Linked DNA regions of Medicago truncatula. The protein of the gene in region 2 binds, or shares a complex with, the protein of the main gene of each other region. Links are inferred from orthologs where the notes say so. Each region holds a gene or a part of one and is shown on either strand. Other genes may lie near its edges.

Region 1 (17,583 bases), on a different chromosome or scaffold from region 2:
AGGTATCGAACTCAAGTTCTTCTGAACGACTCGTTGTTTGGTAGAGTTTATTAATCACTTGAATTCAATAACTTCGTTGAGGGTGTTACAATTCAACTATCGATTCTAAATTCTTACATATTTTTGGAAGTATATTTACGGATACTATAAATTGTTTGAAATTGTATTTTCAAAAATGAAATATATGTAGTACTTTTTTAATGTGAACTTAAGTTAAGAAGTGAAAACACAGTTTCAACCAAAATTGTACATGTTGGGGTCCAAGTTGGTGTAGATTTCCAGGTCGATTTCTTTTATAGCATAAGCATCCCCACCAAGGTCAGGCATTGAGGTTCAGACTGGCCTTGGTCCCTTTATACAGGAGGTGTTTAACACATGGTTCTTTTATTTATCAAAAATAAGTTTAGTATAAACTTATCTTTGTTTATCAGGAAGTTAAAGTTTATGAAAAAATCGGGATACAAAAGCTATATAGCTCATAAGAGCTGTTGTTTGCAAAACTGGTCAACTTGTTTTAATGTTCCTTTTTTTTTTTTTTTTTCTTTCAAAATGTTCTTGTGAAATCCATGTGCTAAAGTCCCACTCAGTTGTACTAGCTCAACAAAATGGAGTACACCAACCTTTTAATTAGTAATCTATATTCTGGAGCTATATTTTAACCATGAATAATATTGAAGTTATAGCCTAATGGCGCATTTGGATGATAAAAATAAAATTATGGCACATAAGTTACATTTTAACTGAAGTCATGATTCTGAAACAACCCAATCTACATCAAGTTTGAAGCAATAGGCCTCAGCAAAACCTGATAGAACAAGAAATAAATGAGGATATAGGAAAAAGGGATTAGCCACTACAACCCCAACTCCTTATAGATGAAGTTCTTGATTTCCAAGCAATGCTAAAGAAAATCAGATTACACTTTGAGAATCTGATTCCAAAATATTTCAATGATCCACAGACAGAAAATGGTCCCATCCATTGTTCACGAATGATACTTCAAAAAGAAGGGCAGTTAGAAGATTGCAAGTAAGATCTAAGCCTAAAATACACTTGCAATTTTAATGGAGAATATCTGTGGGAGCCATGTCCTTAAAAGCCATTTGGGAGAATAGCTCGACTATAATAACACTGACACGGGCAAGCCAACGATATTTTCCCCTTAAATATTGATAATTATAATTCTTGAAGTTCATGCTACAAATAAATTATAGTCTAAACAAGTGAATGTTGACCTCCAGAAATTCAACTCTGAATTAATTTCTAAGACTCCATATCCCAAGTCCATTTGTCTTCCGTTACCAAACAGTTGTTCACTAGTACCTATGAAGCACAAACACTCTCCGGATTAGGCGTGTCCCGGTGTCGGACACGTGTCAGTGGCCGACGCCGACACATATGATTACACTGAATTGTGATTTTCTCAGTTTATTAGCGGTGTCAGCGTGTCAGTGTCTGTGTCCGGTGCTCGTGCTTCATAGACTAGTACATGTATCAATCTTCATTAACACAAGACCCACATATGAATATTAGGGAACCATTTGTTGGATTAATAAAGAGGGAACCAAAAACAACAACTAACAAAGTACTGCATAATCAGTTTCTTGAAAATTGACAAAAAAAATCACCTTCATTGCAACAGTAATGTATTCTCACAAAAGATTCTACTAAGTGGGAAGCAAAACGAACAAGAAAAATCAAGGTAAAAGACATTCTTACTTTCTAAACTAAAGCACACAAGAAAGGTGCAGGAATCTACCACAGATGACGCTATCCAACTAAGTATAAGCATATGCACCAGAAGTGTGAATCAGCAAACAGAACCTACCTATCTCACAAATTACCAGATCAACTATTATGCAACCGGTGCAAACTTTCGGCGGCAACAAAAACCATATATCAAATGACACCAAACTCCCTTTTGGGCAAACTCACTAAAGTAGCTATGCCTCCATTTTAGCCTATTCTCCCTTCACCAGACCAGATTTCAGACCTCCTTTGTAATCAAGATGAAACAAAGGACAAAAAGCACAGAAAGAAAAAAAAAATGAACATATCACTTGATAGACTGAAAGCATAACCCTCGTCATTTCAGCACATTGATAGAGGTTTAATCCTATCCTCTAGCCAAAAAAACATTCAAGTTACCAGAATGGGCACTGGACGAAGAACCCTCCAAGTGAGCTGCTCTTCTCATAGTTCTGTTGCTGTGAACTCTATTTTCTTCCCTAAATGAATGTTCATGATTAGTTACCTGCTGCAACTGAAGCAAAGCAATCATACTAACGGCAACCAGAGCAGCATTTCCTACTATTCCGCCCATATGATCCAACCCAAGAGATTTCTTCACAAAATTGAAACTTGAGACAAAAACATTGACGAGGATATTAGATCTCTTCCCCTTCTCGGCTACAAAATTCTCATCTGTACATTTTGGTTGTCCAAAAACTTCAGGTGAAACAAGGCCGCTAGCATCATGTACATCTCCAACAAAAGCAAGAGCTTCTTCAATGACTTTATATTTTTTGCCACGGTGTTCTGCCAGTCTCATTGCAAGAACAAGTCTACTCTGTTCCAGACGTGCAATCGCAGCATCTCTCTCAACACGCTGCTGAGTCTGAATGGTCTACATATCATACAGAAAGGAATTCTAATTTAGAACAAAACCATATTAAAAAAACAAACAAGAAGTGGCCAAAAAGTCATGGTAAAAATATTAAGCATGCGATTAACTGATTGGAAAACCTTCTCAAGTTCCAGAAAAAACAATGAATATTGCATATATACATTGTCGGCTCATTTTATGAATTAAATATCTTATTCTTCACATCAACCAAATAAGAATCCTTTACATTAACTCATTAAACCATACTTACCCCTGTTATACAAACTTGCCGTTCCATGGAACATTAGTTCTATTGATTATCTACTACTGAAATTGGGTAATCCTTTATGAATAAGAGAGCTCTATCTCATCCAGACCGTTAAAGAATTAGGGTTATTTATGTGATACAAGTGATGTCAAACTTGTTTTGTTAGAAGTATTAATGGGTATAAGAATATTTGGCTTATACATGTTAATTTTGTAACAATAGTATTTCTCATTGATCTGGAATTGTACTACACTGCTACTTGACTTCTATTATCAGTATAATTTGGAGTATTAGGTACATAGCGTACTCAGGATTATCAATTGCACGGAATTGCTGCACAATAGTATTGTCACAGCATGGCCCATAGCAGATACAATGCCCTCCATTGTGTCACTGTTCACTATAGCAGATGTTGCAGCCACTTTTGCGGCAAAATAGAGAATTTTGCGGCATGATAGTGCCACCCAATGAGTACAAACTGAAATTCAGAAGAAAAAAAAAACCTAGATATTAATCATTAGAGATTTTTGCGGGGAGGTATTTGAGTGGTTTCATAGGAAAATCACACCAGAACTCCCTTTGGTTTGCAACAGAGGTTTATTTTACAGTTTCTCACTTCGTCTCTCTTTCGGGTGACCAGCTGACCAACTCTAGGGACCAGCCATCAGCCAAAGACCATCTATGCTCTAATCATACTGAAAATGGTAAGGAAGTGTTGGATTTAGAAAATGATGATTGATAATTACAACATAGAAATTTTTTGTCTGAATTTCAATGTTCACACAGTTTAGTTACTTTAAGCATTAATCCCAAGACATAAACTTCTTACTTCTTCGTGATTAGTGGTCACCAATCCATGACTTCTTAGTGTTTACTTGTAATTTCGCATGCATTTTGTCAGCAGCTAGATGTGTTTGGCTCTCTTTCATATTCCCAACAAGTTTTCAAAGCTCTTGGGTCTCCTAAGTTAAAAAATAATGGTCTATTGTGTATGCCATACTACAAGGGGCATATTAAGTAAAAGCGTGAGGTGAAACAAACTAATTTCCACCAAATAACAATGTTTTAAAATTAATCATGATCATGCATTCCAAAAATAATAGGTTGTATCTTTACTATTTCCAGTAACGATGACTTCACTTCCTGACTTCAAGATGCGCTGTTTAATTTTGTGTAATTGTTTTTCCAGCTATGTATTATGAAGCACGCATTATATGTTGAGGCAATTTTCTGTTGGGGTGTCTATTTGTAACAAGCTAAGAGGAATAGTAAGCTTCATCTTGATGCTAAGTGTTTGTGTGTTACAATATTACATTAGTTTGGTGGTATGTAGCATTAGCAGTCTTACTGAACTAAGCTTGGCTTAGTTGGTTTACTCTCCTAGACAGGTTTATAGTATAAAGTATAAAAATGAGTATTATGTTGGTTTTTGCAACATTGACATATATCTGCCACATGTAACATATGAAATGAAACTGTAAAAAAAAACATATTAAATATCACAGCTCCCACTTATCAGACAACCTTCCAATTTTCTCTATTGCCTAAAGTTCATTGTTAGGGGTCAGATTCAACAATTTGGTACTATGATTGGGGCATAGCAAGGAAAGTTGCAAGCATTTTGATTATCACAATTCATAAATTTACTGCAGATACCATTTACTCTGAACTGAAATTAAAAATCTCTCAGACCAATATATCACTCATTCAACCCTTAAAAAATTCATACAATAATATTGAAACAAGGCAAGAAGTTATATCATCACCCTTCTGTTTGATAGTCAAATGTAACCTAATTGATAATTAATCAAATCTGATTAGATTATTGACATGTTTCATCATTTCATCACTCCTTTCGTTTGTCCAACCCACATTGTCATTCCTTGGGGTCATATATTCATGTGCCAGTATTGTTCAACTCAATTAAACTCGCCTAGTAGAACACATCATACTCAACCAGAATATTCTAAATCAAAACTTACAAACAATATAAAGCAAAGGCTACATTTTGTTTTGAGAAAAAACAAAATAATATACCATTAGACTATCCATGACAAAGCACCGATATTGGGTGCTTAAATGGGCTACCTATGTCCACATCATTCATCTTATGGTAATACTTAATAAGCACCAATTTTATTCAACACAACACCTCACAAGAAATTACAAAATAGGTTCCACAAATAATTCTATATCATTACATTTCAACAAAATTTATTTATTTCATTATGATTTATGAAATGGGAGCCGCGAAAAGTGAAGAGAGAGAGAGAGAGAGAGAGAGAGAGAGAGAGAGAGAGGGTGCTTCCTTAGCCACCCTTCTCCATAGGCAACCCAAATGTTATACTCCACAATGGGGTGCCTATTTAGTATGGTGCTAAATAGGTGAAGCACCCACCATTTTGGATGTTCTTAAACTTCTTATTATGGCAGTTTTATGTCAGTTATATATTGTTTATTTTAAGGAATAAATAGAGAAAGTGGTTACATTTTCTATATGGGTGTAATACTATTTATGTTGTAAACCTATTTTACCATCAATAAAAGTCAGTTACTACAATCAAATTGTATTTTGATACCAGTTTCTGACATAAACAATTGTTGTCAAATAGCAGTTATAGCAACCTATATCACTATAGCATAGCAAAATTTGAGCTAATCGCTATTGTTCCACAATACACTATTTAGAACAAAATGTGGTCAAATAGCAGTTACTACGGCGCTATAGCGTTGTGGCATATCAAAATTTGAACAACTGCTATTTTTTCACGATCTTCAATTGACAGTCACCATCCAATGCTAATTAACAACCCTATTAAATAATTATTTTATCAACTCAAATTCAAAAAGGTTAAATAATCCTACACACAATTGTAACCTATCATTCATTTCCTCAAAGAGTCAATTAACCTAAATCTCAAATCATAAAGTGAAAATTCAAATTAAGATTCAATTTTATCAAAAAGTGTAGATTAGCGCCACATAATTTTGAAATAATTAACATTCAATTTCATCAAAGCAAAAATTAAATTCATATTAAACATTCAATTTCATCAAAATTTCAAATCGCAAAAACATATCAAGCATTCAATTTCGCGCCTAATTCTTAATACACCAAACCCTAGAATCAAATTCAAAACAAAAAATTCAACAAAAAATAAAAAAATTTGAAAAAACTCACATGAAAATACTCGAGCTGGTCTTCAAGATTCTCAAGCGCGGTTCTAATAGCATTAAGACTCTTCGCTTCATGAACGGCATCATCAACATCGTCATTCACCGGCCGAAAATCCTTCACATAAACAAAACCGTTACCGTTATTACCCTCCGGTGTCGTTTCGCTAGAAACAGTGTCGTTTTTGTTATGCGCAGAATTCGTGAGCGTTTTGACGGAAGTGAGAAAATGAGATCGTGAAATGGAATGAATAGCGTCGCTGAGTTTGTCGTGTAAGTCCCAGATTTTCTCGAGAATCGCTTCTACTTCTTCCATTTGCGTGTTCCATTTCATTTCATCGAAACGCGATTATTTAGAACGCGATTATGAAAAAAGCGAAAAAAGTGTGTGATGAAGAATGAAGAGTGAGGGTTTGCTTGAAGACAAGGGAAGGAATTTTTGGCTGAACGTTGTGTCGTTTTTTGTAGAAGAAATGAGTATTTTACTTTTTTTGTATTTTATTTTATTAAAGTAGTTATGTACTGTAGTGACTAGTGACCACACGTATATTACTTTATTTGAATTTAAATAATCTTTTGGTGACAATAACCATGTCGAGTCCACTCTCTATCTGTCAACAACACAAAAAAATTACTATTTTTTTATAGGAGGGAAAATACTTTGGAGAATTTGAATTTTGATGAATTTGTGAATTTAGACTTGCGGTATGTTTGATTGTACGTTAAAGTGTGAATTCTTGCTCTGATGCTGTTAGAGTGTAAATTTATTTTGATGGAAACGTTTTTCGAAAATAATTTGACTAAAACACAAAATATAATGGTTATTGACTCTCTCTTTAATTTTGACTCCATACACCACACATTCGAGTTATATTGTATATGATGTTGAATACTTTTTTTGACTTTTGTTTATCTAAATAATATGATAGTTTTGACGGTATATTCGTTATTGCTTCAACCAAGCAAATTCAACGCGCGCACCCTTCATATTTTTGCATTCATTAGTAACATCATCTCCGTTCACACTAAATAACTCAGTAATAAGAGCATAACCTTGCTTTTGATAGATTTTAGCCATATCATTGATAAACTTGCCATGAATCGTGATGTGTAGACAACATGACACATCGTCCAACGTGATGGTCATTTCCCAACTGGTAGAGGAAGTTGTTGGTTTTGTCATGCCACCGCTCAACGAAAGGTGTCACAAGAAGTGAGACAAGACCATAAGCACGCACAAGAGTCAAGACCCTAAAATCAATTCATATGCACTGTTTGATGTTGCAATTCACTAATACTTATCTTATTTCCATGTGTGATGTTTTGCATAACATGTTTGCATCACTAAAACACAAAAGCAAACTAACAAATATAAATCAGAAAAAAAAAACTTAATTTTAAAAACACTTAAATTTGACCAAGATAATTATACTTACTTCTCACATCCAAATTCTGGTAACATATAATACAAGCAATTAAACAGTATAGAAAAATCAGAATGCCCACTACCTAATCCCATAGGTGGTAGTGGGTCATGGTAGTATGGTGATGGGTGTTGTGTGGTGGTGGTGGTGATGGAGCATGATGTTGGTTGTCATTAGCTTGAACCTCGTACTAATGCTCATGCATATATAGTGTAGGATCAACCACCTATGTGGTTCCTGTCTGTGAGGTTCATATGCCTAAGTCGGCCCTGTTTAGATGGAGGTTCACTGCAACATTCACTATGTGTATGCTGCTTGTGTGGGTCAACCTGCCTAACCTGAACTTATCTATGTTGTCAGCCATATATACATTCAATGTCCAATGTGTCATTTCCTTTCTTGAACTACCCACAATGCACTTGTATAAATAACTTCATCAACTACATTCACATTCAAAGCAAGTATGTAATTGATCAACAACTACCCAAAAAGTCATCAATATCACAAAATAAAACCCTAACATGTGAGCAATTAAAAATACCTAATCATATAAAACTAACAATGTTTAGTATGCTTAGAGATTGTGAACACTTACTTGATTAATTGCTTGAGTTTGAAGAAATTTTATAGAGTTTGGTTTATTGGAGTTTGGAGGGAGTACAATTTGTGTTTTGAGTGTTTTTCAATATGTGAGTGGTTCTATTTTTGACTCTAATATACTCCATCAAGAATGAAATATAAGCAAAAGGGTAGTTGAAACGTTGATGTATGTGAAATAAATTTTTAACCATATACATTGACCTTTCAACTATCATTTTTGCTTATATTTCATTCTGAAGAGAGTATGTTCACAATGAAACGACAATTAATTGTTGCTAGTGGGAAAACAACAATTAGTTGTCGTTCAACAACAAACATAATTACTTGTCGTTGGGGGCATTTTACCTTCATCCACAAAAAAAAAAAAAAAACTTTTAAGGATGGTTCATCTAGAGACAGTTCAACTTATCCACATCTTAAATTGAGTCATATATATCTCCACTAAAGTATCATAACACTGTCTTTTTTTCAACCCCTCACCTCTTCTAAGATATATATATATATATATATATATATATATATAAAGTATCTTATAAGTATATGTGTGTATTAGTGAAATATCAAAATATTTTTTAAAAAATTAAAAGTTAATTTCAATACTTCGTGGTATGTATCTGCGGATTATCGATATCCAATACGTATTATATGGGTACGTCTCCTTATTTAGAGTATCCAAACTTCGTAGGTTATATTGAAGTATCTATCATTCCAAATTCATTGTTTATAAAATAATTTGTGCTTGTTTGATACTCCCTTTAGTCCCAAGTATAAAGAAAGATGCATTTTTCATATTCATGGAATAACTCATCATTCAATGAATATGAAAAACGAGTTAATTTGTTTATATTTGCATTGAGTTTTGACAAAATTATAGCAAACAAGCCACCATGATTTTATAAAAACTATACTGACCTAGAACTTTGATCCCAAAGATGAACTTCTAGGATAGAATCTCTTATAGTTATATGTACACATTCATTCTTGACAAAACTTCATATACATTATCAAAACATTGACTTAGGCATCAAGTACTATATTTCTTTCACAACATCAACGTCTCCTACAAAGATCACTTCTGTATTATTTGACATCAACGAGGTTCACACTAGGTTATTGCTGTCATATGTGAGAAGAAGTATACTCTTCTCATTTCTGTCTTCTTAACACAAATTATATGTAAGAAAAAACAAATATAACATTACAATAAAGTACTATATAAGTTTCATTAAAAAATAAACATTACAATAAGTTTATTTTTCTGTCAGCAACACATAACAAAATATAACTTATGGTTCATCTTATAATCATAAACCAGCTAAACACATCAATTTTGGCCCCATTATTTATTATTATTACATTAATATAATATTATCAAAACAAACATGGATGTTGCAGCATGTAATTAAATTCACATCTTCTCAGTTCTTGAGTCCTGGCGAATCCCCGGAGCCCTGTCATTTGGTGTTGCAGTGAGTTCACTCTCTCTTCCATCCTCACCCGAAATCTCTTCCAAAGATCGTCCCTTAGTTTCCGTCACCAAGAACGTGCAAAAGAATCCTATCAAATTTGTAAAAGCCAGAATCATCATTGCGCGTCTAATCTTCCTTGGCGTACCATCCAACGTGTAGTATTGTATCCCGAACGCACCAACCATAGCACCCGCCTTCCCAGATGCAGCACTGAAAGCATGGCATGTTGACCTCACCCGCGTAGGAAAAAGCTCAGCGGGCAACACAAAAGTTGTACTATTAGGCCCAAAGTTCGCGAAGAAGAATGTTAGCCCGTATAAAAGAGCGAAGAGGTTTTTGTTTTCGTCTTTCAAGTATTCATATTTAACACCAATGACAAACATGAAGAAAGACATCATGAAGAAACCAACCAACTGTATCTTGAATCTTCCAAGCTTTTCAATGAAGAAAACAGTGAACCAATAACCGGGGAATGTTCCAAACAAGGCGACAACAAACATGGCGCGCGAAGTTTGGAAAACTTCATCAATAGCATTCATTTCTTTGTCTTGACGAATAAGTCCCATTGCAGGGTAAATATCTTTCTGTGTCAAATTCTGACTGTAGAAAGCAATATCTAACAAGAACCAACAACTCATTGTACCGATTAAATGACGACCGTGCCTGTTGAAAAACTCGCTAGACCAAAGAGGGTAATCATTTGCTGCTTTAAATTCAGCCAACTTATCTTGCTCCGCTATGATTTCGATGTCCAAAACTCTTGCCATGTCTGCAGCGGCTTGTTTCGCGTTCCCTTCTACGATTGCAGTGTAACGACCGGTTTCAGGCATTTTCATTCTCCAGTAGTAAGTCATCGCAGCTGGAACAGCACCGATCATGAGAATTAATCGCCAGAGTAAATCCCCTTCGGGCTGTGTTGATAAAATTGGGTCTTCATTGAAACGGGGAGCCTGGTAGTATGCTTTAAAAATTCCTGAAAATACCATTGAAACCAATCCGGCAAAGATGATTCCCACGCCTTGCATTGCGAAAACTGCTGCTATGAAAGCGCCTCGTGTCCTTTTGTTGGCGTATTCAGACATGATGGTTGCTGATAAAGGGTAGTCTCCACCAATACCAAATCCAAGCCAAAACCTAAATCACATGAAATATTCATGGCAAAATGGGAAAATTATTAGTCATTACGACGAATTTGAACCTTCTCCCTTGAAGATATAAAATCAAACTTTTTTACTTGCGGTAGTTTAGGTAGGGACTAAGTTGTCCCGGTTTTTTTCTTATTAAAATTATTTTATTTTTCTTAAAAACCAAGTTGGATCCACCACTAACCTGAAAAAACAAAGGGTTATCATAACAGATTTCGCGGAAGAACCAAAAGAAAGACCAGAGCAAATGGCACAAGCAACCATGATAATGAGTGTGACACCATAAACTTTCTTGCGTCCAAGTTTGTCTCCGAGCCAGCCGAAGACTAATTGGCCAGAAAGTGTTCCGACAAGGGCCACACCGGTGACTACATTATTAACTGATGGTGGAAGCTTCCCTGGTTTGTTAGTGCTTGGATCAAAGTAATATAATCGTCCCAAGAGCTTCGAAACGGTTGAAATGCAGAACAGATCATAGGCATCAGTGAAGAATCCCATGCCAGCAATTACTATAGCTGTTACATGGTACCATTGTGTACGAGCTGAATCAAGAGCCTCAAGGACTTCTAATCCCATTTTGGTAAAAAAAAAAAGGAAGACTCTCTCAAGTTGGTTTTTGGAGTTAATTTGGTTTAGGTGTTTATGTGTATGCTCTTATATATATTATTATGGCTATGCATTGATATGTGTTTGATAATGTAACAATGTGACGTTTAGTCCTAAGTTAGCTTAGGAGATGAGAACAAGAAAAATTGAGATTGCTAGCTAAATGTTATGGATATTCACCTAGTGTTGATCAATTAATTAGGATATTCTTATAGGGAATGTTCAAAAATGCTAAGTGCTTTTGTTTTGGTTACAGTTAGCTGTTAAAAGAGGATTATTGTTTTGTTTTTTAGCTGCTTGCTAACATAATACTACCTCCGTCCCTATATACAAGACCTTTTTGCCAAAATCACAGGAATTAAGAAAGTGAGTATTTGTATTAAAGTTATTTGTAATCACTATTGATTTTACAATTTTATCCTTTAGAAAGAGAGATAGTTTATATTTTCAACATGCTATTTATTGCTGATTGAAGAAAAAAATGTATAATAAATAGGGACATATATGTAAAGAAATAATTAATTTAATTGGAAATAACAAGGAGGTCTTATAAAAAGGAACAAAAAAAATTCAAAAATATCTTATATAATTGGAAAGGGAGGTAGTAGGATACAAATGCAATTCAAATGAGGTGTATGTGAGGACAAACGTTACCACCGAATAGAATGCGTGTCATTTACTAAACATACAAAAATGTGTGCCAATTAAATAATAAGGGAGCAACTTTTTTTCACTCCATGTTAAAAAAAACAAAAATTTAACATATTTTTGGAAGTGTATTTTCAGATAGTATTAGTTGTTTGAACAAAAATTAATCTTTGTTGTGGATCAGCCCAACTTAAGTTGAGTATGTTGAAAAAAAAACGAAGATTGTTCAATAGATCTCTTAAAATTGTTCATCTTGCTGAAAAAAGTTGATCAGGAGTTTACCTGATCAAATTTTACATACAAAAATAGTTGATTGAGAGTTCGACCTGATCATAAGAGAAATTGAGAGGTGTATTGAACAATCATCAAAGAAACTAGCTAGTCAAGTCCGTGTATATTTTGGGAAAACTACTAACTGAATAACTATCCAACTTAGTTATGTAAATAAGCTCTAATACTTCGCTATACAAATCAGATGACAAATAATCTAGCTACTTGTACATTTTGTCATTATTCATTGCTATGATTTCCATCTACCATTCAACAAATTTGATCCTTTGATCAATCATAATGTGAGGGTTTATCATTCTCATTAATCCTCTAATGAGTTCGTACCGAACAATTGCGTTGTATATGAGGGAACACCATACTACTAGAAAATTTGAATTACCACCATAATTTAGAGAGGAAAACGATAAATAAAATTTAATTTCAATTCCATCATTAAGTGTTAGAGACTCCGAAATTTGAGACCAAAATGATGTGTTTATGTCTTTAAAAGGACAATAAATCTCTAATACTTTTAGTTAGGCATTTATGTCCGCGAAGGTGTAGTCCGATGGTTAAAGGGTTGAAGTGTTCAAGAGACATGAACAAATAGAACATAGTACAAGTTTTAAATATTCAAATGTAAGCAAATAGAAAATAGAACGAGTTTAAAACAATCAAGGAAAATTATTTGAAGATGAATTTGACAATCTTTCCTACTTATTTCTTACACTTAGATTGTCCTTTTTTTTTATTTTCTAAATATAGGAGTGAAATCGATTTTAGCCTTGAGAGAGAAGAAAGAGATAGATGGGTTTTTGCGACACAATAAGAGGTGACATCTACACGAAATATTTGTAGGATATGTATCGAACAATTCAGTCAAGTGTCTCAAACAAAAAAAATATACTTTGACACACTTTAAACACTCTTGGGATGTAAAAAGAAGGGGGGTGGTGTGTGACTACGCCGGAAAAGTTTCATTAACACTGTGTTTGATATCAATAAAAAAAGAAAGAGAGAAATTGAATAGAGAGAAGTTGAAGAGAGAAGGCACACTCCTCTCGTTTGGTTGAGCAGAGAAATAGAAGAGAGTGATAACTTTTGGATGGGACCCACTAAAATCTCAATCTCCCCACTTATGCGAAGAAAGTGAAGGGATACGGTGCAACTTGAGTTATTTTCCAGTTTTGCCCCTGTCATCAACAACAACTGTGTATGCTCTCAAAGGTGTATGCTTTGGCCACTCATGTGTAAGCTTGTCAACATAATGGTTGAATTACAAATGGGTTGTTATTAAGTTCAATGAATTTGATGCAGCGGTTTTTGTATCGTTTACTCATGAGTTTGTCTATTGTTTATGAATGGGTCTTGGCCTAAATTAGTTTATGAATGCAGCGGTTGAATTACTAATTATCAAGAGAGTTCTTATTGAATTATAAAATTTCAAAGAATTGAAATAACATTATTTTAAACGAAAGAATCATCAACATAAATAATTATCGGGTTATTAAAACAAGCTCAACATATTTTAGCTGATGTTATAAGTCTTATTTACTTTGATTGAAATTTCAACTATTGTCCCATAAATACAACTCATATAGTTAATGACAGTGAATATGCTTGATAGAGGTGCGGGTTCGAACCCGTGAACAAAACTCAAATGTTGCATCGTCTCCAAAATAAAGGGACTGAAACCGGGGATTGTAAAAGAAGTTTTATGTACATTTTTAATTTAAATAAGTGATTTTTTCATCGAACACGTTTTTCTTGTGTTTTTGTGATCTTGTCGTTTGAGTGCGACGATTTTTTGTTCAATGTCTCGGTGAGACATTATTTGATTTCTCATATTGTTGTGGTATTAGTTGGTTCATATTAAAACATTAGCTTCAATTAATTAAAAATTCAATCAATAACTTGAGCTTCAACTTTGCAGATCTAGTGATATACCGATATAGATATTCTAGTTGATTTGATTTTATCATAGTAATTGTAAGATTTTAATGTTGTATGCTATTAATTTGGATGATGTGCGTTTGTTTACGTATTTATATATTTTGTTATTGTTTTTAACGATGGTGTATTCAATGTACTTTATCAATTTGAATGAATAAATATTATTTTTGTTTTGTCAAAAATAAAAATAAAAAGACAACCTAAGGCAGCATTCTTTCTATTTTGTCTATTTATTTTCCCTTCATTCCTTATCAATAACAAAAAATGATTTTTCCCTTAAAAAATACTAAAAATGATTTAGAATAATCACAATAAATAGAGATAACCAAAAAATCAGAATGAGACTATCCTTGGAGCAATGGAAGTATATTCAAATATGCAATAGTCAAATTAAAACATCTTTCTTCCTCCTATTACATGTTACATGCCCTTGAAAAAGATCTGTATTGATATAGAATTGAAGTACAAGTCCATTGTTGATGCCCTAATGAATGATGTAAGTGAGAAGCAAGGCCACCAGCATTAGGACATATGCTATTGCTTGGTCAATTGATGTTCCTGCAAATTTTTAAGAACAATTTAATTATTAGCCATGCGTTGCAACCAAACAACAATATTGGCTAGAACGGTTGAAAAAAACCAAAGAGTAAACCCAAAAATATCATATTGTAACAGATAGTTCAGAAATTGAATGAACCGAATTGTTTGTGAACTGTCAATAACAAGTTTCATTCTTATCGGTGCGGTTCAATTTAACGGTTTAATTCGTGTTTTTTTAACAATACTACACATGCAGTGTTTTAGACTAACAAACCCAAGATAGTCTAAATCAATTAGGTAAAGAAACACGAACTCAAAGACGAATGAGAAAAATATTTCAAATCGCGACTACGCATCACAATTTTTGATATTTTGGAGAATCGCAGCCATACATGAATATTGCGACTTCAACTACAATCACATTGTGGTCATTGAGACATCAAATACCAGATTTTGCAGTCTAAATTGCAATCATAAACCCTATTTAAATTTTTTGATCGAGATATTATGATCAAGACAAAAAAAAGTTTCTCAACATGAGGTAAAATCTTATCTTTCACAATCAAAATCAAGAATTTATGAATTATGTTATAATTTTATAATCATTGAACTTTCACAAGTTTGATTCTCAAGGAAAAGAACAAAATTTGGAATATCATCCATCAACTATATAAGATGGTGAGATCAACATAGAAGGATAAAGTTTATGAATACTTGAAAAACCTATGTTAAAATCATAATCTTAATGAAAACTTACCATCACTTGTGGGAGCAGGAGCAGGAGCCGGAGCAACATATTGTGAAGAAGCCATTGACGCAAAAGATGCGTAAATAAGACCAAGGAACACGACCACCCAAAATGAAAGTGTCATTTTTCTCTCTTTCAGTGATTCTCTCTCCTTTTATTTTATCTTCTCTTTAATTTTCTTACAAATTTTAAACGAGATAGAAAAAAAAAAAAAAAGGAGAGAGAATATATGCGAACTATGGGCGGGTGGTGAATACAAAGAGTTATGTGTTCCTTTTATAAGATTGAAAACATTCACATGAGAGCCAGCAATGATGAGATGTAGAATGAGAGGTGCACCCGCATGTTTAGAAGGAAATGATTGTATTTTTTCAGTTAATTTTTTCATTTTCTAGCACATGATGAGTTGTTTGTATAATATATTATGTTATTACCAAAACAAAAAAGAATTTGATGAGTTGGTTGTGTGCTGTGTATCCTTGTAATGTATCATTGATTTGAGGTTGTTATTAGGACTGACAGATTGCATATATGTTTAATAATTGACATAAATTTTATCCATTTTTGTGATTTTGAATAAGAGAATATTCGTAATGAAATGAACCTTTAGCATTAAAATATGTCTATGTAGGTAAAATAACTAAATATGTAAAGAAATATATTTAGTTTTGATTCGTTGTCAAAAATGATTTACTTAAATAGTTATTGTAATGAGTTCGATATTTTACTTAATTCATTGAATAGTCAATTATTTTTACCAAATAAAATTTTATATAGTTAATTGAACTGTCCATTTTCTCATTATACATGTAATCAAAATATAAAATAGTATACTGTAAATATAATTGGGAGATGGCATATACAAATATACAAAATTACAAATATAGAGGAGATGTAATCAAAATATAAAATTAAAATAAATATAAACTCAATTACTTCATATATTTTTACAAATCAAGATATTCGTACGCAACAACTAAGACTAACCTTTCGAGATAACTAATTTTTTTAAGAGATTAACATCTAACTAGGATGTCAATAGGACGAGGGACATGGAGTACCCCCGCTCCCCGTCTTGGTCACTGAAAATGCTCCCCATTCTCCACCTTGGGGAGTTTGTTCCCGTCCCCATCTTGCAGATCCGCACAGGGACCCATCAATATAAAAATTATTTCGAGTCTTGTGCAACAATAAATATCACATATAATGGCAAAATGCCAAAATTGTTAGGCCGGATGCCATGACTGGGGTTCGAACCCCGGTTTCTCCACTTGTGTGTGTGAGTTATAATGCCTTTGCCATTAACATAAATTTACAAACATATGGTGTGAACATACAAATGAATCTAAGATTTAAATACTTGAATGTATTCATGTGAAGCTTTTGTAGTAATCTGCTCGGGGACGGGGTCCCCACCGGGTGGAGGTATAATCCCCGTCCTTCTCCTCAAACCACCCTCGGAGTACTTTCTCCCTCATCCCCGTGGGCAAAAACACCCCAGACCTAATGAGATAGTCCCTACATGGATCCCCACTTACAAAGTTACGAGTGCAAATTGACATCCCCACTTCTAACAGATGTTTTTACTACACACTCATGTCAAGTCAAAATGCGAAGTAAATTACCCTTTTTATTCTCAACGGTCAACAGTAACTAACAAGCTACTAGAAGCTTCTAGATTTTCTTCAATCATTAGGCTTGTGTCACGCTGGTCCAATACAACAGTGAATCTAAGTTACTGAATACAAAGGATTATAGAGTAGGAAAGCATGCTGCAGAATAGAAAGGCTATGGATTAAGACATAGACATAAAGCACAAGACCAAAGGCATAAGCTACATATCGCTGTTGATTGATATAATAAATACAATCAACAGTTTGCCACAGCAGACCTAATAACTTCAAAATACTCATGCATATACAAAAGAGTATACTCCCTCCGATCTTAAATATAAGTAAAAAGGTACATATATTTGGTCTAAATTTGAACCAAATATATGTACCGTTTTGTTTATATTCAAGACGGGACGGAATATGTACACGATTCAGTTACTAATGTGCTAATGTTTGCTAAAATTAATACGCATGATTCCATTTCTTAACATTTTGAGAAGGAACCTGTTGCCATGCTAGT
Region 2 (16,745 bases):
TTGCCTGTTATTCCTTGACAGATCACGCGTGTGCTTTTGTCGACGAACACCGCCGGAGAGGGGGTTGATGAGAAGTTGCGGCGGTTGTTGGAGGCGATTGATGAGAACAGTTTTGTTACGCGGTGGAAAGTCATCGTGTGTGAAGGTGAGATTTGAGATCAGAAGTGAAAGTGTGATTTGGGTTTGTTTTTAGGGTGTTTTGATTTTGTGAAAGAAACCCTGTGCCTCCTTTCTGGACTGACTATCTATTTTTTTGGGAGAATATTGAAAATATGTAATAAAACGCACAATTAAATATATTTTTATTTTTATTTTTTTGGTCTAGAATCAATATATAAACTAATTTTTGGTATTGCTTAAAAGAAAATCCCGTCAACTTATTTTTATAATTTAAATTTTTTGCATAGAGAATAAAATGTCACCTAGTTGATATATATTTGTACCAAAATATTCTCATATTTTATTATTAACTTTTTCAATGAAAGTCTAAATACGTCGCTACAAATACATTCCTACATTCTATAAAAAAAAATAAAAAATAATGCATTCCTACATATGTTTTTATATTAGTAACAAGATAAAATTAATGAATTGGTTTTTGAAGGATAAATTAATGATTTTAGTACTTTGTAGCATGCAACTAAAAAACTGGTGAAAATTTTGTAGACTATAACGGACTGGAGAGTCAATGTGGTGTTGGTAAGTGAAAGTAACTCGCCCTATGATCAATTTTCCGTAGAGTCACAGACTCACAGTTTGAATCCTAGTGTAGTCACCAACATTGAAAAGACTAAAAATCAAAGGATAAAATCATGTTCAAACAATCAAAGCAGAGATTATTTCCATAATGAATCAAAAGGGTAAGAAATGTGAGATACATGTGAGGATCGCAAACACGATGAGAGAGCAGGTCCTTAACGCAACACAGTTCGAAATAGACACCAAATTTTCTGACACCTCAGTATTGGCGCTAGCTTGGTGTTAAATAAGAAAAAGACACGATTGTGGACGCTCTTAGTGCACAATGGACTCTTAACTAAATAAATAAATAAAAACGAAAGTGGGAATACTATTGACATTGAAGAAAGAGACTTGCTCAAATTCCTTTTGTTCACTTTTCACACTACAAAGAAAGAATTGCTAATCACATAATTTTCTGGTGAACATCTACAATTATGTCAATCAATCAGTTTTTTACAGGAAATAATCAGAAAGAAGAGTGTTATCATCTGCCTATACGTAGAATGCTATGAATTTAAGGTTCCCACTTCCCAGAAAATAAATTTAGGAAAGGAACCAAGTTAGCCTCAACTTCAGTTATCCTGGACCTGGTGTGTGTGTATATATCATCGCGTTTGAATATCAGCTTCACAGAACTTCCATGATCCATCATCTTGCCTCTTCACAACATACTTAACTTTGTAAGTGCTGCAATTAATCATTAAAAAAATGGTTAATAAAAACAGTAAAATGCATAAATGATATTATTAGTGTATTAACAATAGACTACTGTTCAGTTGTTAGTTAAGCAAGAGAAGCTTGTCTTACCTATAGTAGTTTGGGTTCTTTTGCTGAGAACTGTCAACAAGTTCAGCTGCTTCCTCTAAAAGGGCTTCTATCTCTGCTATGTCTGATCCATTTCCATCTGATAGTATGTCGGCTCTAAGGACAGACAGTTTTAGCAAAAGAAATCTCCAGTGACAAGATTTTTCTATTGCAGCATCTGCCAAAGCTTGCCACTGTCAAAGATAACATAAAAACCAATAAGTTTTCTCCATGTGATGCATAGTCAACATGAACATGAAAATTCTCAAGAATTAAGTCATATCAGCAATCAATAACTATTGACAATTCTTATTTCCAAATGTTACTTTGTGTGGGAGTCTTATTATTCAAACCCTCCAATAAGATTGAACACGCTATTGAGTTGTCTGTCTATCCACAAGTTTATTAGCTACAGTGTAGGAGTCAAATTTCTCTAATAAGCCATCTATAATACCAACAACATTAATTTTCTAAAAATATGATCATTCATATTAAAGTTTTTTGTGGTGATTAATTTAAATTGAAGACATTTTTTTGGAAGCAAATAACAATCAAACTGCCAATGAAATGGACCTGCATATAGCTGGTTTGTTATGATTTTCCTTTCATAAACCAACAAATTTTAAGTATTTCAAAGCCCCAGATAATCATGTATGTTATAATACTCATCATAAACAAACAAGAAACCATATGATAGCGTATAACTTGCTCACTTAATAGTTAAATAGTCTATAGATTGATGAATTTGTTATGTTACTCATCATAAACAAACAAGAAACCATATGATAGCGTATAACTTTCTCATTTAATAGTTAAATAGTCTATAGATTGATGAACTGAATGATCGAACAATAGACGGTTGAAAATTGAAATGATAGTTGATTATAAAAAAAGTGGTTAAAGAAGACTGCAGCATCAGCATGCATTACCTGAGCAAGCATAGATTCGTCAAGGACATCAGTTAGGCCATTTACTTCATGGCTAGGCCCCAAAGCTTCAGCTTTGATTGTTTGCCATTCCCTAATAAGGGTTTCCGCTTCTTCCACAGGCATCAGCCTCCTATACACATTAATAGGGGAGGATGATGAGGTAAGAGTGCTGTGTAAACCACTTCGGCTTTCAGCATCTGGCCGGCGCAAAAACTGCATCTTAACCATTGAAATAAGTCCCTTCAGTTTGTTGCCAACAGAACTTCGCCTAATATAGGTAGGGCCTACAGTGTAGTTAGCAGATGAATTTGTAGTCCAAGAAGTAGAAGTGTGGGCTTTTTTGAAAGCCAAGTTAGAACCATTCTTGCCCAGGTTCATTCCCAACAACTTCATACAAGCAAATGCAATACAACCCAATATGGTAATGTGTGTTATTCTTTCAAATACTTGAGCACGAGTGAAGTGATTATTCCAAATTCCATTGTGATGAGTGCTAAGGTTCCTTTTCACTTTAACAGTTTGCTCACTTTGATTGACTCCGTTTTCATTTTTGCCAGATAGCAGTGAACCCTGCAAATCAGTAGGAGTCAGCTGCTTGACAGCAAACCCCAAATTTGAGGAAGAACTCATATATGAGCGAGGTTCCTCAAAATCTTTTCGTTCTACAGAACCAGATGAGGATAGAGGCCTATGACATATAGTAGGAAACATTTGTGGAGATCCTTTAGAATTCTTGCTTCCAGAAAATTTCTTTTGAGCATTAAAGAAATTGGCCTGCAGAGATGAACATCTGTAAGTAACATGTCAGAATCAAAGCAACAAATTAGTTTCGTTCACTATAGTTGATCTTACCAAAGCTGGAGAACAACCTTTAGTATCTGGATATAAATCAAGCGCAGAATCCTTCAGCCACAGTTCCTGCCAATTCAGCAAAAAACTCAAAATTATATCATAGAACCTTAAAATAAAGGATAAAAAGAAGTTCTTGAGCCATCGAATTTTAGCTGTTATCTCATGTAAGAATATAATATACACTGAAGAAATATTTCCAGAAGCTAAATAAAAGCTGAGGTATTTTCTCTCAACAAAATCTCATTTTCAATTGAAAAACTAAAAAGAAATGAATCTTAGCATACGGCGTTTAGGTTAGACTTCACTGTCTTTACATAAGCATAAAACTATTCCAAAACACACTAATTTTGAAATCCATGCCTCGATTAATAGCACACAATGAGAACATAGGGCGCTAGGGTCCTCAAGAGAGTCAAGACTAAAAAATGGGAGGAAATGGCATCACTAAGGTCAGTCAAGAAATTTGTGTAATAAAGGCACCTAAGCATTTTCAACCCACGTCCTGAAGGAAAACAAAAATAAGAAACTGAATGAACATGATGACAAGAGAAATACCAATGATGGGTTTACAGCTGAAGAATCCATTATTGCCTTCCCCAAGACTGAATTACGTTTTGGATTTGAGTTCAGCTCAAGCTGCTTGAGCTTTTCAACTGCCTCTTCCTCTGTGCCCTAGATTGAAGATAACATTAATGAAGCACGATGTTGTAGAATCTCGCAGAAAATTGGAAAGTTGGAAAGAAAGAAAAAATATTGCTGCAGGAAACCAAGATTCAAATACAAAATGTCTAAATACTTCATAACAGCAGCTCCAATAATTAAGGTTAAGACGATAAAAACATACCAGTCCAAGAAGGAATAGGCAAAAAGCTTCTTCAAATTTTAGATCAATGCCCTCTGAAGCTATCAAACATTCGCATATGCTTTTTGCTTTGTTAATCTGCATATAATTTATAAAAAGACTTGGTATCAGGATGAAATTAAGAATGTCACTGTTTGAGTACGTAAGCCCAAAAAGAGTACTTATGATACAAGGAGTATAGAAGGGATATTAAAATGCTTATAAGCTTTGAAGGAAGGTATTATTGAAGAAGGTTATTACCAACTCTTTTTGCTTGCTGGAAAATCCAAGTGCCATATGAGCTGTAAAAACTCTATAGAAACAATTTGAATCAATTACTATCCTTAGATTCTGTGATTCAATTGTCTTCTTATTCTTTCGCATCACAGCTAAGCTATCCCAAGGAAGAAGATCAACTATCTCATTAGCCAGTAAATTGTGAAATGCTTGGCTTAGAAAAGAAGGCCAGTCCTGTACTTGGCATGAAGCTTCAACATCAAGACCCTGTCTAAGCAATTCGCGTAAAGCTGCAATTGCTCCTCGTCTTCGTTCAACATTTTCAGGGGTATTTGGCACACTCAATAGCTCCAAGGTGCAGGCGGGGGCCAGCTCTTCAAGAGATTCTTCAATCTATACACCATTAAAAGCATTCTCAGGGTTGTTCCATGCATAATATACCGACATGGAATGTGATAATACACAAGATGGATGAGGCTAAAGTCTTTTAAATTGAATGTGGTTTCCAACCATAATTGCACAATGGTAAATTCTCCAGCCAAAAAGATGATATAAAATATGAAAATGACATGAACATAGAATTGATAGAAATACGAGATAAGTATACGGTGTTCCATGATAAGGTTGGATATTCAGGAAGCTGATTTAAATTATCTGTTATCGGAGCTTTTTAAATTATAGAAGCAATAAATCTAATATTGAAATAGAAATGATCATCTTCACTAAATAAGTACACCACATTATTCCTAGACTTCATGGAAATTCCCAATGTTCTTGAATTAGAAACAAAAACTAGGGATTACAACAATTTTACACCTGTTTAATTAATGATTCCTTTTTCTTTGTAGTTGAAATGAGAGGTGGAGTTTACAGGCTTATAGCCTAATCTTTTCCTGGTAAAATACTACATTTGTCCCTAAATACATAAATATTAGACCCTGTTGACTAAATCATGAAGACTAAGAAAGTTGAAAGTAGTATTAAATTAAATTTATTAACAATTGGTATAGTTTTTCCAAGTTTACCCTTTATGAGAGAGGGTGAATTTATCTTTCCCATGACAGTATTTATTGTTTATTAGTTGGTTCTAAAAAAGGTGGAAAATTAATAAGAAGTATTATGCTGATAAAGAAATAATTAATACACTTCAAAATTTGAAGGGGACCCATAAAAAGGGACATGATAATTTCTCAAGAGGAGCCTATGTTTAGGGTCTGAGGTAATATATACTAAGCAAACCAGTCAGTGAATATACACTTAAAAAAAGTTTCACACCTGAGATAAGAGTGTCATTTTTGCAAGAGATGGTTTACTTCTTAGAAGACACTGGGCACGAGCAAGAGCTTCGAAACCTTGAGATACTTTGTTCTTCTCAAAGCCAATTTTCGCAACTGTACACTTCAATAAGACACCTATGATAAGAATAGGGTATATAAACAAGACTGTTTTAAATTCAGATAGTAATTTTCCAACCTCTGTCCATATGTCTTACCTCAGCTAGTGCCATAGAAAGAACTAAATCATCTGCATATGGCTTCGCATCTTGATGCTGAAGACTCGTTCTTCCAATGTCCAGCACAAGCTTTGATTCTCCAATCTGAACAGAAGGAATAGAGAAGTAGAAGTCAAATATTTCCAGAAAACAGGGAGAAATTAATACACGGTCATCGGGAAGAAAAAAAATTTAAAAAGACCAAGTATGTGCCAAGTGTACCTCTTGAAGAAGGCATAGAGCACCGGGCAACCAAGACCAAGGAATACGAAGGGAAGGTTTAGGGGGAATCTTTTCCTTCAGGTTACCAGCATACTCTGGCTCAAAAAGGAGCTTATCCCTAACATCCATCAGAAGATCCTGCAAAGTAATATTAGATGAGAGCAACAAACAACAACAACAACTCAGTTACTTTATCTGCGTCTCTAAAACCAATTTTAGCAAAACATAATTAGTTAGTGGTGACATCTATACCTCGCGAGATGCAACAACGCCCATTGTGTAACCTTCGTCAATTTCTGCATTTTTTAAACTCATAACTGCCTTAACAATTTCATCTTTCTCAGCTCGATCAGGAACGCCAATAAGCTGCAAAATGAACCAAGTGGTCTAGAACAAATCTCAAAACAATAATAAAACACTCATCATAACTAATGAATCGTCTCAAACACCAACTCCTTCATAACATGGAAAACAAAAATGCAAAGGGTGGATATGTTCAAACTTAGTTGATGATATAAAACATATGGAGTTATCCAATCATATTCAACGAGCCAAAATTGCAGAATAAAACTACCCCTAAATCTATGTTTATAGCTTGTAACTTTCTTTGGTCTCTCCTTTACCTCTAATTATAAGACTATGCACGCTCTCCTCATCTACTTCTAATCTACAGGTCTTCGCCGAACACATCTCCATTTTTTCTCTAATAATTTCATTTCTAATCCTATCTTGTCTAATATATCCATTTCTTCCTCCATTGTAACATTCTCATAATCTCATCACTGCAGCAATAAGTTTACTTGTTAGGTATTTTACCATCCAACATCCAATTTCATAAAACATCATCCGTCTTATTATAAATGAATACCAAAGATTTCTTTAAGCTTAGAGTTATTTCTCTATCACATGTCAGTTATCACCTATGTAGCACCAACACTTCAGATCAAAAACATGCACAAATATCTAACATGTGTCAGTGCCTGCGCTGACAATCTCATCATTACAACAATAAGTTTAGTTTCTTGTTAGTTATTTTACCTTCCAACATTCAATTCCATGCAACATCCTTTATCTTATGATAAAATAAAGAGAATTAACATCAAGTTTTATTTTAAAGCTTGAGTCATTTCTCTTTAACATATCAAATATCACTTATGTAGCACCAACACTTCAAATCAAAAACATGTACCGGTATCCAACATGTGTCAGTGTCCAACACTAACACGGGTGTTTAAATACAATCACTTCTATTTTCTTAAACTATTACCAGCGCCTACATGTCTGTGTCTATATATGTGTCATTTCTAACATTTCAAATTGAAGACGTGTATGAGTATCTAACACGTGTCAATGTCTGACATTGACGCATGTGTTTAGATACAATCACTCCTATTTCCTTAAATTATTATTACTAGTGCCGTGTGTCTGTGTCATGTCTAGGGTCTGTGTCAGTGTTTCACCGGGGCGGTCATCACTCCCAATCATTCCTCCAATTCATCAAACTCACTAAGATCCTATCATTAACATCTAATTACTTCGCAAAAATGGCGATGATAATTACAATGACGAATGAATAATCAAACAAATTAAACACACAAACACGCAATTAAACTAACAAACACCAATTTGCAATCACCTGATAACACGAAACCGGAATTTCGACTGTCGATTTCAACACTTGATTTTCAACAATGCGATTATTATTACTATCACCAAATTTCAACTTCCTCCGTTCAAGAACAACATCACTTTTCCCAGCGTGAGAACAAACACAAAACGCAGAACCACAAAATCTAGAACCAATTTCTCCATGTGAACCTGGAAAAGGAGCTTTCGTGATGCGAGCAACGCTATACAGAGAAGGACCGATCACTGCAGCATTAGCCAGTGCCATGAGCGAACTCTCATTCCCCTTTCTTCAAAACCCTAATTGTTCAGTGAAATTTCAACATTGTTGAATTGGAAATTCGTAACACATTGGTTTGAGTTTAGAAATTGTGAAAAGTGATTTGGAATTTTTGTTATGAAGAAGAAAAGAAGAAGTGAAGAATTGGGGGAGAGAAGTGTGTGTGAAAAACGTTGGGTGAAAAAGAGGGAGATTACGACAAATTAAAACAAGTAGTAATAATTATTGTGGATTTTTTTTTTCTCTTTCGTCTTAATTAAGAGTTAAGATCCTCTCCATTTATTATTCTCTCGATTTCATCCATTCGAAAAGATATAGATAAAAAAAAATTCAAAAAATTAAAAAGTAATTAATGATGGTGGGATCCACTTAAAAGTAGGACCCTGTGTCTATCTCTCTCCAAATTGCATACTCCATTTATTATACCAAATGGAGAGGATTGTCGAATTAAATTAACTTAATACATTGGCACGGGATATCTAAGATCAGTCTCGCTTAAGTTGTGATTTTGTGTTATTATAGATCACTGCTACAACTAGACTAGTGTTATAAGCGGCCCAAAGATAATCGTGCTACTACAAATCATCGTTGTAGTTGGACCATGGCTATAAGGGGTCAAAGAGGATAATGTTACACAATGGTTGAATTAAATGACCATGTAGATTGTGTAATAATGCATTAGCACACACGATATATTATATCTATTGCACTTAAGTGATGATTTTGTGTTACTATGGATCACTATTATAACTGGATCAATGTTATAAGTAACCCAAAGATGATCGCGCTACTACAAACCACCGCTATAATTAGACCATGGATACAAGGGGCCCAAAGTGGATTGCGTTAGACAATGGTCGAATTAAATTAGTCTGTAGATTATGTAATAATGTGTTAGCACACGATATCTCACATCTATCGCACTCAATTAATGATTTTGTGTTATTATCATTGTTATAAATGGGATTTTTATCTTTTCACTTCAAGAATTGTTCCCTCACACCCCAAAAATACCGAAATACCTTCAACGACAGTTAACTGTCGCTCTCTACTAAAATGCCTTTCAACGGCAATTAAATTCGACTAATTCATTGAGCAAACGACATTTAGCTGCCGTTTAGGGTATTTTAGTATTTTCAAGGTGCGAAGGAGCAAAATTTTATGTAAGATGACTAGAATCCTTGTAATTGGAGCAATGATATAAGCGGCCCAAAATAATCACATTTTATAAAGGTTGGATTGGATAAGCTTATACATTGTATAATAATGCATTGGCACACTATAAATGCATATGATCTGCAGAAAAATGAAGGACATGATAGCTCGATTTGTGCAGTGTTTGATTGTTAAACTATTTCAAGGACAAGACAAATTGGGGTCAAGGGTAATGACATGTCATCTTACGTTATTTTCAACATATTTTTCAGTCATTTTATTTAGGTTTTGATCCAATTTAGAGGATATTTATAACAATTGTCTATGGTTTTTGGAACTTTTTGTAACGTTTTCATTTTGAGTCAAGCAATTCTAGTTTCCCCAAAACCAAACAGTTCTTAGGTTTCATGATGTAATTCAATGCAAAATAATGCAAATTGACAAATCAAATCATCTCAAGAGAATTTGGGAAGACAATGGATGATGATTCAAAAAGCATCTGAAGACATTACAAAGAGAATAAATTCTACTTCGAGTCTCAGGACAAGTTACAAGGAAGAAAACACTCAGAAAGACTAAAAAAAACCCAAAAACACGCTGTTGAGTGCTGATGTGACACCCAGGGTGTGCGAAAACTGCACTAGCGTGTGAGGTGCGCCTCTAGGTGAAAAACAACAAAAAAGACACAAGTAAAATACGTTTATGCCCCCAGCGGCAGTTAACAGCCGTTCAAGAATACGCCGGCAATTAACAACCGCTGGAGCCAGCGGCAGTTAACTGCCGCTCTCACTAGTTAGCAGAATCGGTGCAGCCTGCACTGGTTTTTTCCAGGAAATTTGTCTTGTTTTACCTATAATTTCGAACGACAATTCAGGAGGAAATCAAACCGAAACAACAACATCAAGCAATCACAAACATCAATATTTCATAGTTTATCAATTATTCGGTAACATTACACAAAACCGATAATGCGTTAACGTTTCACAATTGTTTGAAATCCATCAAATTTTTCACATTGTGCAACACATTACACGTAATGTACATTAATTACTAATAAATGCGAAACTCAAATATATATATATATATATATATATATATATATATATATATATATATATATATATATATATAGTTAAAGGTTATTACATATCACCCAAAAAATTAATCATTACATTATATATCCAAAAAATACGTCGGCACGTATCGACTAAAAAACAGATTAACACCGACCAAAAAGTGTCATATTTCATCTAACAAAAGCAAATAATCTAAATGTTCCAGAACATCTTCAAATTCTTCATTTTCTTTAACTGGAGTGTCATCAAACATAATTGGATTGTCTTCATTTGTTGGTTCTTTTGGTGGAATCGGTCTCTCTTTGTCCTCAATCTCCATGAGTGCTCGGAAACGATCGTGTTGATCCAAGAATTCATAATCCCATGTTTTTGCCTCATCGCTCCTATGATTTCTCCACTCCGTGGATGATGGAGGTAGTGGACAACCAACGAAAGAAGGACAAAATGATTTGGGATTAAACCAAGGCAAATCATGTTTCCACACATCGGGTCGAAAATAAATGAGCCGTGTCCACTTCGTTGTCACGAAGTTTCCACACATCGGAATTGACGCTTGAAGCCTCAACTTTAACGGAAGCTTCGACCTTAGCGAGAGCTTCAACCTTAATGGAATCGACAACTCTAGGTTTTCGATCACCCGCATTCTCAACCTTATCTATAAATAAACAACATACAATTACTAAACTAATTAATAAACATGTATCTAATATCATATAATAACATAAACAAAAAAAAAACAAAAGGAAAAAAAATTGAAATTTTTTTTTTGGGCAGTAGCACTGCCATTTGACAATTTTGAAAAAATTTCTAAGTTACCAGCGGCAGTTAACAGCCGCTCAAACCCAACGGTGGTTAACTGCCGCTCAAGCTTGTGACAGTACAAAACAAAATAACCAGAAAAATCAATCAAATGTAATGGATTTTAACGTTGTAATACCTGTTATTTGATGCATATTGTGTGTAGAAACGTCATAGCAATCGATCAGCAATGATTTGGAAGCAAGATTTTGACAAAAAAAATTTGATAAGGGGATTTTTTTTTTTGGTATGGTATTGGTGGTGTAAGGTGATGAATGAATAGGAGAGGTAGGGGTTTTCTGGTTTTTGGGGGAAAAACCAACGGCAGTTAACGACTGCTGGGGGCATAAATGTATTTTACTTGTGTCTTTATGAACTTTTCTATGTCAAGAAAACACTTTTCTTTTCTCTTGCAAATTTGAGGAAAAGGCCTAGTTTTTTTAGCCCAAACCCACTTGAAAACCAGCCTAAAAATACAACTTTTTCAAAACATGAAAAATGTATTTAAGACTCTTACGAATATGAGTGTAAAAATGCATGGTCATGCTTAACTAAGTTAATACGAGATATTGAACTTCCTTAAAAAAAATGAGATATTGAATTTATTCTTTACTCAATATATTTCAAAACCAAGAAATATAAATATTGAACTATACATAGATTACACAATCTATATGTTGTTTTTTGTTATAGGCATAAAGGGAAAAGAAGTAATTATATCCATTATAGTTATCACATAAAAGTGTTGTCAGGTCACATGACATTCTTGTCACTTGGATGACACTTATGTGTCGATAATTCCTATTTATTGTATATAATATTAACTTAAATATGTATTATTTAATATGATTACAAATGTTACGAGAACATACAAGGTCTAGCACAAAATACAAATAGATGAGAAAAAAAATTATAAATAAATAAGTCAGCCTTTTTTTTTTTGTCAAAGAGGCTTATTAATAAATTAATAACAAAGATATAATGTTGAAATTGTTTGAAAACACACACACACATATATATATATATAAATGTGTGTGTTATAAAATGGTTTTAAATAAAATTAATGATTTTATTTTGAAATTGTTTCAAAAAGAATGTATTTTGGATTCAAATAAAATTAAAGATATGATTTTGAATTTTTTTTAAAAGAAATATATTTCAAATTTAAATAAAATAAAATACATGATTTTGAAATTGTTTTAAAAAATATATATTTTATTTAAAATATTGAAAAGGTGCACATAAGCGAATTTTTTCAAAAAGTATATGTTTTGGATTCAAATAAAATCAAAGATATTATTTAAAAATTGTTTTAAGAGAAATATATTTTAGATTTAAATAAAATGAAATATACGATTTTAAAATTATTTAAATATGATCTTGAAATTGTTTCAAGAGAAATATATTTTGGATTTAAATAAAATGAAATATACGGTTTTAAAATTATTTAAATATGATCTTGAAATTGTTTCAAGAGAATTATATTTTGGATTTAAATAAAATCAAATATACGGTTTTAAATTATATAAAAATATCTAAGAGATGCACATGAGTGAGTCTATAAATAGAATTCGCAGGGTGTTTAATATCATACCACTTTACAAAAACCATAACTAAAATTATAATCTCTTATATTGTCACACGAAATCCACACAATGGCTCCAACAAATCCCATCAAAAAATTTCTTAAGAAATTTTCATGTCTAGGCAAGAAAACACAAGTTAACAATGATCGTCAATGCCTTGATTCAGATATTTCCCAAGGCTACATTGCTGTGTATGTTGGAGAAAACAGAATCAAATATGTTATTCCAATTTCTTTTCTACATCAACCAGTGTTTCAAAACCTTCTCCGTCAAGCTGAAGAAGAGTTTGGTTTTGATCATGATCGTAAGGGTCTCACTCTTCCTTGCCGCCAAGATGTTTTTGAGTCCATTGTTTCTAGTTTGGATAGATGAAAAATGTTGTAGCTGCTTCGTAACTTTATTTTTTTCTCTCTCTATATATTAATATTCAAATAGATGCAACCTTAAAATGTGTGAGGTTAGTATTTTAGAATAAATTTCCCAAAGAATGAATCTTTGTGGTTTTAGATTGTAATCTAATTTCTATCAAAGATTACTAGTTAATTTCAATTAAAAAAATATATGATTTACTAAAATACTAACCTCACACATCAATTATATGATTTAATACATGGTTACTAGTTAATTTCTAATTTCAAGAAAATATATGATTTACTATCAAGAAATTACTATCAATTATATTGCTAGTTAATATCAATTAAAAAAAAACCTCTGGTTAACCCAAACAACACAAATTTGGCTCTTTCTTACAAAGAGAATCATGTTGTCACAAAAAAAAGTATTATTCTTTCCTATGTTTTCTTAGTGTACCATGCACATATTTATATTTCGCAAGTTAGTTTTTAAAAAATTCTTCTTCTTTCCTAACGTGTTGAGCTTTTGAGTGAGCACCAAGTTATTATGGTATTTTTGTCATTAAATAAATTTGTGAATAAGCAAAGAAAAACAATCGTAAATCATCTTCTATGTGTGTCCTCCTTCTCTTATCGTCAAAATTAAAGGAAGGAAAACAATCATAAAATCATTATATGTTTTCGTCACCTTCATTTCAACAATCATAATAGGAAATGAATATGCAAGATGATTTATAATAAAATTTATATAATAAAAACAAAAGTACACACTTCTTATTTTAAATTATTCGACATGTCTCCTTGCAAGCTTAACTCTGTTAGTAAAAACAATATATTGTATATGTAAGGTCTGAGATTCAAACCTCAACTACCAAAATAATTATTCAACATGTCATTGCAATTAAAGTTGATTATAAGTTATAACCATCACCCTAATACTAATAAGAGTTGTTGTTTATTATTACAATACAATTTATGAGCCTACTAGATTGGAGATAATATAATCCATGTAAGTGGTTTCATTGTCATACAAACACAACCTAATTTATTTATTTATTTTTATAAATTACATTGACTGATAAGCTTATAAATAATAAAAAGGAATTTATTTATTTGCATAAACTATATTGTATAAACTCAAAATTAGCATAATCGAAACAATAATCCAAATTTATAAGTTAAATTAAAACATAACATTAATTACAATCATTTTGCACTTTACTTCTTGTTCATAGGGAACCCGGTCTATTTCAAGCGAACATACTTGTCTGTTTTTTCTTCCTTCTTCTTCAGCTGAGTCGAGTGGAGTGCAACTGTCTCGTCTTGACTAAGTCATTTCCCTAAATCTAAACCCACTCTTGTGTTATTAAAAGAGTTCATTCTCATTCCCGCGCCATATCACAGAAGAAACAACGTTGAATCCAAAAATGGCACGACCAAAAACGAAGAAGAAAACACGCAGCGACGAAGAAGCCGACGCAACAAACCCAGAAACCATAGAACGCAAGAGACTCAAATCCTTAGCATTTTCAAACAACGTGCTTTCAGAAACCAAAGCTAGAAGTTCAATTCACCTTAATCCTTCTTCCATTGTTGCTAAACATCATGGTAAAGATATTATTAAGAAGTCTCAGAGGAAGAGTAGTAGATACCTTTTCTCGTTTCCTGGTTTGTTTGCTCCTATTGGTGGTGGGAAGATTGGTGATCTTAAGGATTTGGGAACCAAAAATCCAATTCTTTACCTCGATTTCCCTCAGGTTGTTTTTTACTTTTGTGTTTTAAAAATTCAATTTTTCAGGGTTTTTGGTTGTGGGTTTGTTTTGTTTTTGAGTTTTGAAGTATGTATTACAAGAAAATTGGGTTTGGTTTATTAATTTTGTTTGTTTGTTTATGATTTGATTGTTTTGAGCTATAAACCACTGACACGGATATTGGATACGATACTGACACGTGGACACTGATAATAATTTGATAAGATAGAAGTGATTGAATGTAATTGTCTATGTCAGTTGTTGTGACAATCAGAAATTGGACACTTTCAATTTGAAGTGTCAGTGCAACTACTACATAGGTTTAGAGTGTAACTCTACTTTCAAATCAAGACTAGGAGATTTTGTCAGCTTTATTAATTTTTTGAATGAGGATTTGATTGTTTTGAGATATGAATCACTGACACTGATTGGACATAGTATAGACATTAGACACTGATATGTGGACACTGGTAATAATTTGAGAAAATGGAAGTGACTGAATATAACCACTTGTGTTGTTATGGTGTTAGTTGGGGACGCCTTCTATTTGAAGTGTTGGTGCTACATAGGTTGAGTGTAACACCACTTGCATAAGCATTGGGCACGATGTAGACACTGATAATGAATTGATTGAATGTAACCACTTGTGGCATTGTTGTGTCGGTAAGACACTGGATACTCCTTCAATCTTAAGTGTTGGTGCTCCTTAGATTTTGAGTGTAACTCTTCTTGCACATTAATGCACACGACACAAACACTTATATGTAGACACTAATAATAATTTGAGAAAATAGAAGTGATTGAATGTAACTGCTTGTGTCGTTGTTGTGTCGGTAAGACAGCAGACACACCTTATGTCTGAAGTGTTGGGGCTTTATAGATTTTGAGTGTAACTCCTCTTACACATTGGACACGGCGTAAACACTAATAACAATTTGAGGAAATAGAAGTGATTGAATTTAACCACTTGTGTCGTTGTTGTGCTGGTCAGACACTGTACAAGTCTTTAATTTGAAGTGTTGGTGCTACGTAGGTTTTAAGTGTAAATCTACTTGAACAAACATTGTACACCACGCAGACACTGTACACATCTTTAATTTGAAGTGTTGGCTACTACGTAGGTTTTGAGTGTAACTCTACTTGAACAAAAATTGTACACGACACAGACACTGACATGTAGACATTAATTTGAGAAAATAGAAGTGATTGAATGTAATCACTTGTGTCGGTTAGACACGAGCCACACTTTCAATCAAGTGTTGGTGCTACATAGGTTTTGAGTGTAGCTCTACTTGCAATTCAGTCATTTAATTTGACTGTTTTACCGGCAGAAATTGTGAGCAACTTATGAAGTTGTTGTAATGGATTTGACAATTTTATTTTGAGGAATGCTATTTCCCACAAAATGCAATTCCACGAATACCACGATCAAGTACAAATTTGCTATCACAATTTTTGTTTAATATAAAAAAAAAAATACACAAAAAGCGGATTTTGTGGAAAACATGGGGGTGGTAGTGTTATTCGCAGGTTTCGTTTTTTGTGATTCGTAGTAAAAAGTATTTCCCTTTTATTTTTATTACTATCAGTTAGCGTGTCAACTGGAATTGTAACAGGAGAGTTGAAGGACTAATAAAAAACCAAGTTTGCCGGTGAAATATGGGTTTAATTTGACTTATTGCAGGACTTTCTGACTGTTGTTTAACGCAAGTCCTACACAAATTTGGTTAATTTGCCTTCTCTGTTTGTTGTCAACTAATCTGACAGGCTCACCTGCAAGTGGCATGCATACCTGGCTGCAATTAACAAAACTTACTTAACTCAGCTAAATGACAACTTGTTGATCTAAATCTTGTTGAACAGTTTCACTTCGTTTGTTTTGTTATGTTTTATATTGGTAACTGACGATGTGTGTTTTCACTTTCCCTCTACAGGGTCGAATGAAGTTATTTGGGACTATCTTGTATCCAAAGAATAGGTACTTGACTCTACAATTCTCCAA

What was found.
Region 1: the proteins of plastid division protein CDP1, chloroplastic (region 2) and plastid division protein PDV1 are in contact, whole or in part, in a crystal structure (PDB 6JZN), measured with the Arabidopsis thaliana proteins. The link is inferred for Medicago truncatula from reciprocal best matches to the Arabidopsis thaliana genes PARC6 and PDV1. Residues at the interface, in NP_188549.2 of Arabidopsis thaliana: Trp700, Glu701, Lys704, Leu708, Trp729, Leu732, Thr735, Ala736, Lys739, Cys741, Trp743, Phe745, Leu773, Glu775, Ala777, Glu778, Leu779, Asp781, Ala788, Lys789, Tyr790, Ser792, Tyr794, Ile796, Tyr798, Ile815, Ile817; in NP_200140.1 of Arabidopsis thaliana: His264, Leu265, Asp266, Val267, Met268, Met269, Ala270, Arg271, Gly272.

What each region holds. Positions count from the first base shown.
Region 1 is NC_053042.1:9,753,734-9,771,316, forward strand, and holds plastid division protein PDV1, read right to left. Parts: upstream 6,523-17,583; 5' UTR 6,382-6,522; coding exon 6,055-6,381; intron 2,627-6,054; coding exon 2,117-2,626; 3' UTR 1,601-2,116; downstream 1-1,600. Other genes in the region: low affinity inorganic phosphate transporter 4, read right to left, coding at 9,480-10,674, 10,870-11,261; arabinogalactan protein 41, read right to left, coding at 14,647-14,720, 15,460-15,574; clumping factor A, read right to left, coding at 17,583-17,583. UniProt on the Arabidopsis thaliana protein: Component of the plastid division machinery.
Region 2 is NC_053047.1:36,572,224-36,588,968, forward strand, and holds plastid division protein CDP1, chloroplastic, read right to left. Parts: upstream 8,218-16,745; 5' UTR 8,013-8,217; coding exon 7,755-8,012; intron 6,485-7,754; coding exon 6,371-6,484; intron 6,257-6,370; coding exon 6,119-6,256; intron 6,002-6,118; coding exon 5,897-6,001; intron 5,803-5,896; coding exon 5,680-5,802; intron 4,798-5,679; coding exon 4,429-4,797; intron 4,267-4,428; coding exon 4,171-4,266; intron 3,999-4,170; coding exon 3,882-3,998; intron 3,393-3,881; coding exon 3,327-3,392; intron 3,249-3,326; coding exon 2,475-3,248; intron 1,740-2,474; coding exon 1,549-1,739; intron 1,429-1,548; coding exon 1,347-1,428; 3' UTR 1,046-1,346; downstream 1-1,045. Other genes in the region: succinate--CoA ligase [ADP-forming] subunit alpha, mitochondrial, read right to left, coding at 1-134; auxin-induced protein 15A, read left to right, coding at 12,709-13,011; DNA-binding protein RHL1, read left to right, coding at 14,420-14,749, 16,678-16,745. UniProt on the Arabidopsis thaliana protein: Component of the plastid division machinery required for PDV1 localization to constriction sites. Involved in chloroplast division site placement. Required for the proper formation of FtsZ rings at the division site in nongreen plastids (e.g. etioplasts).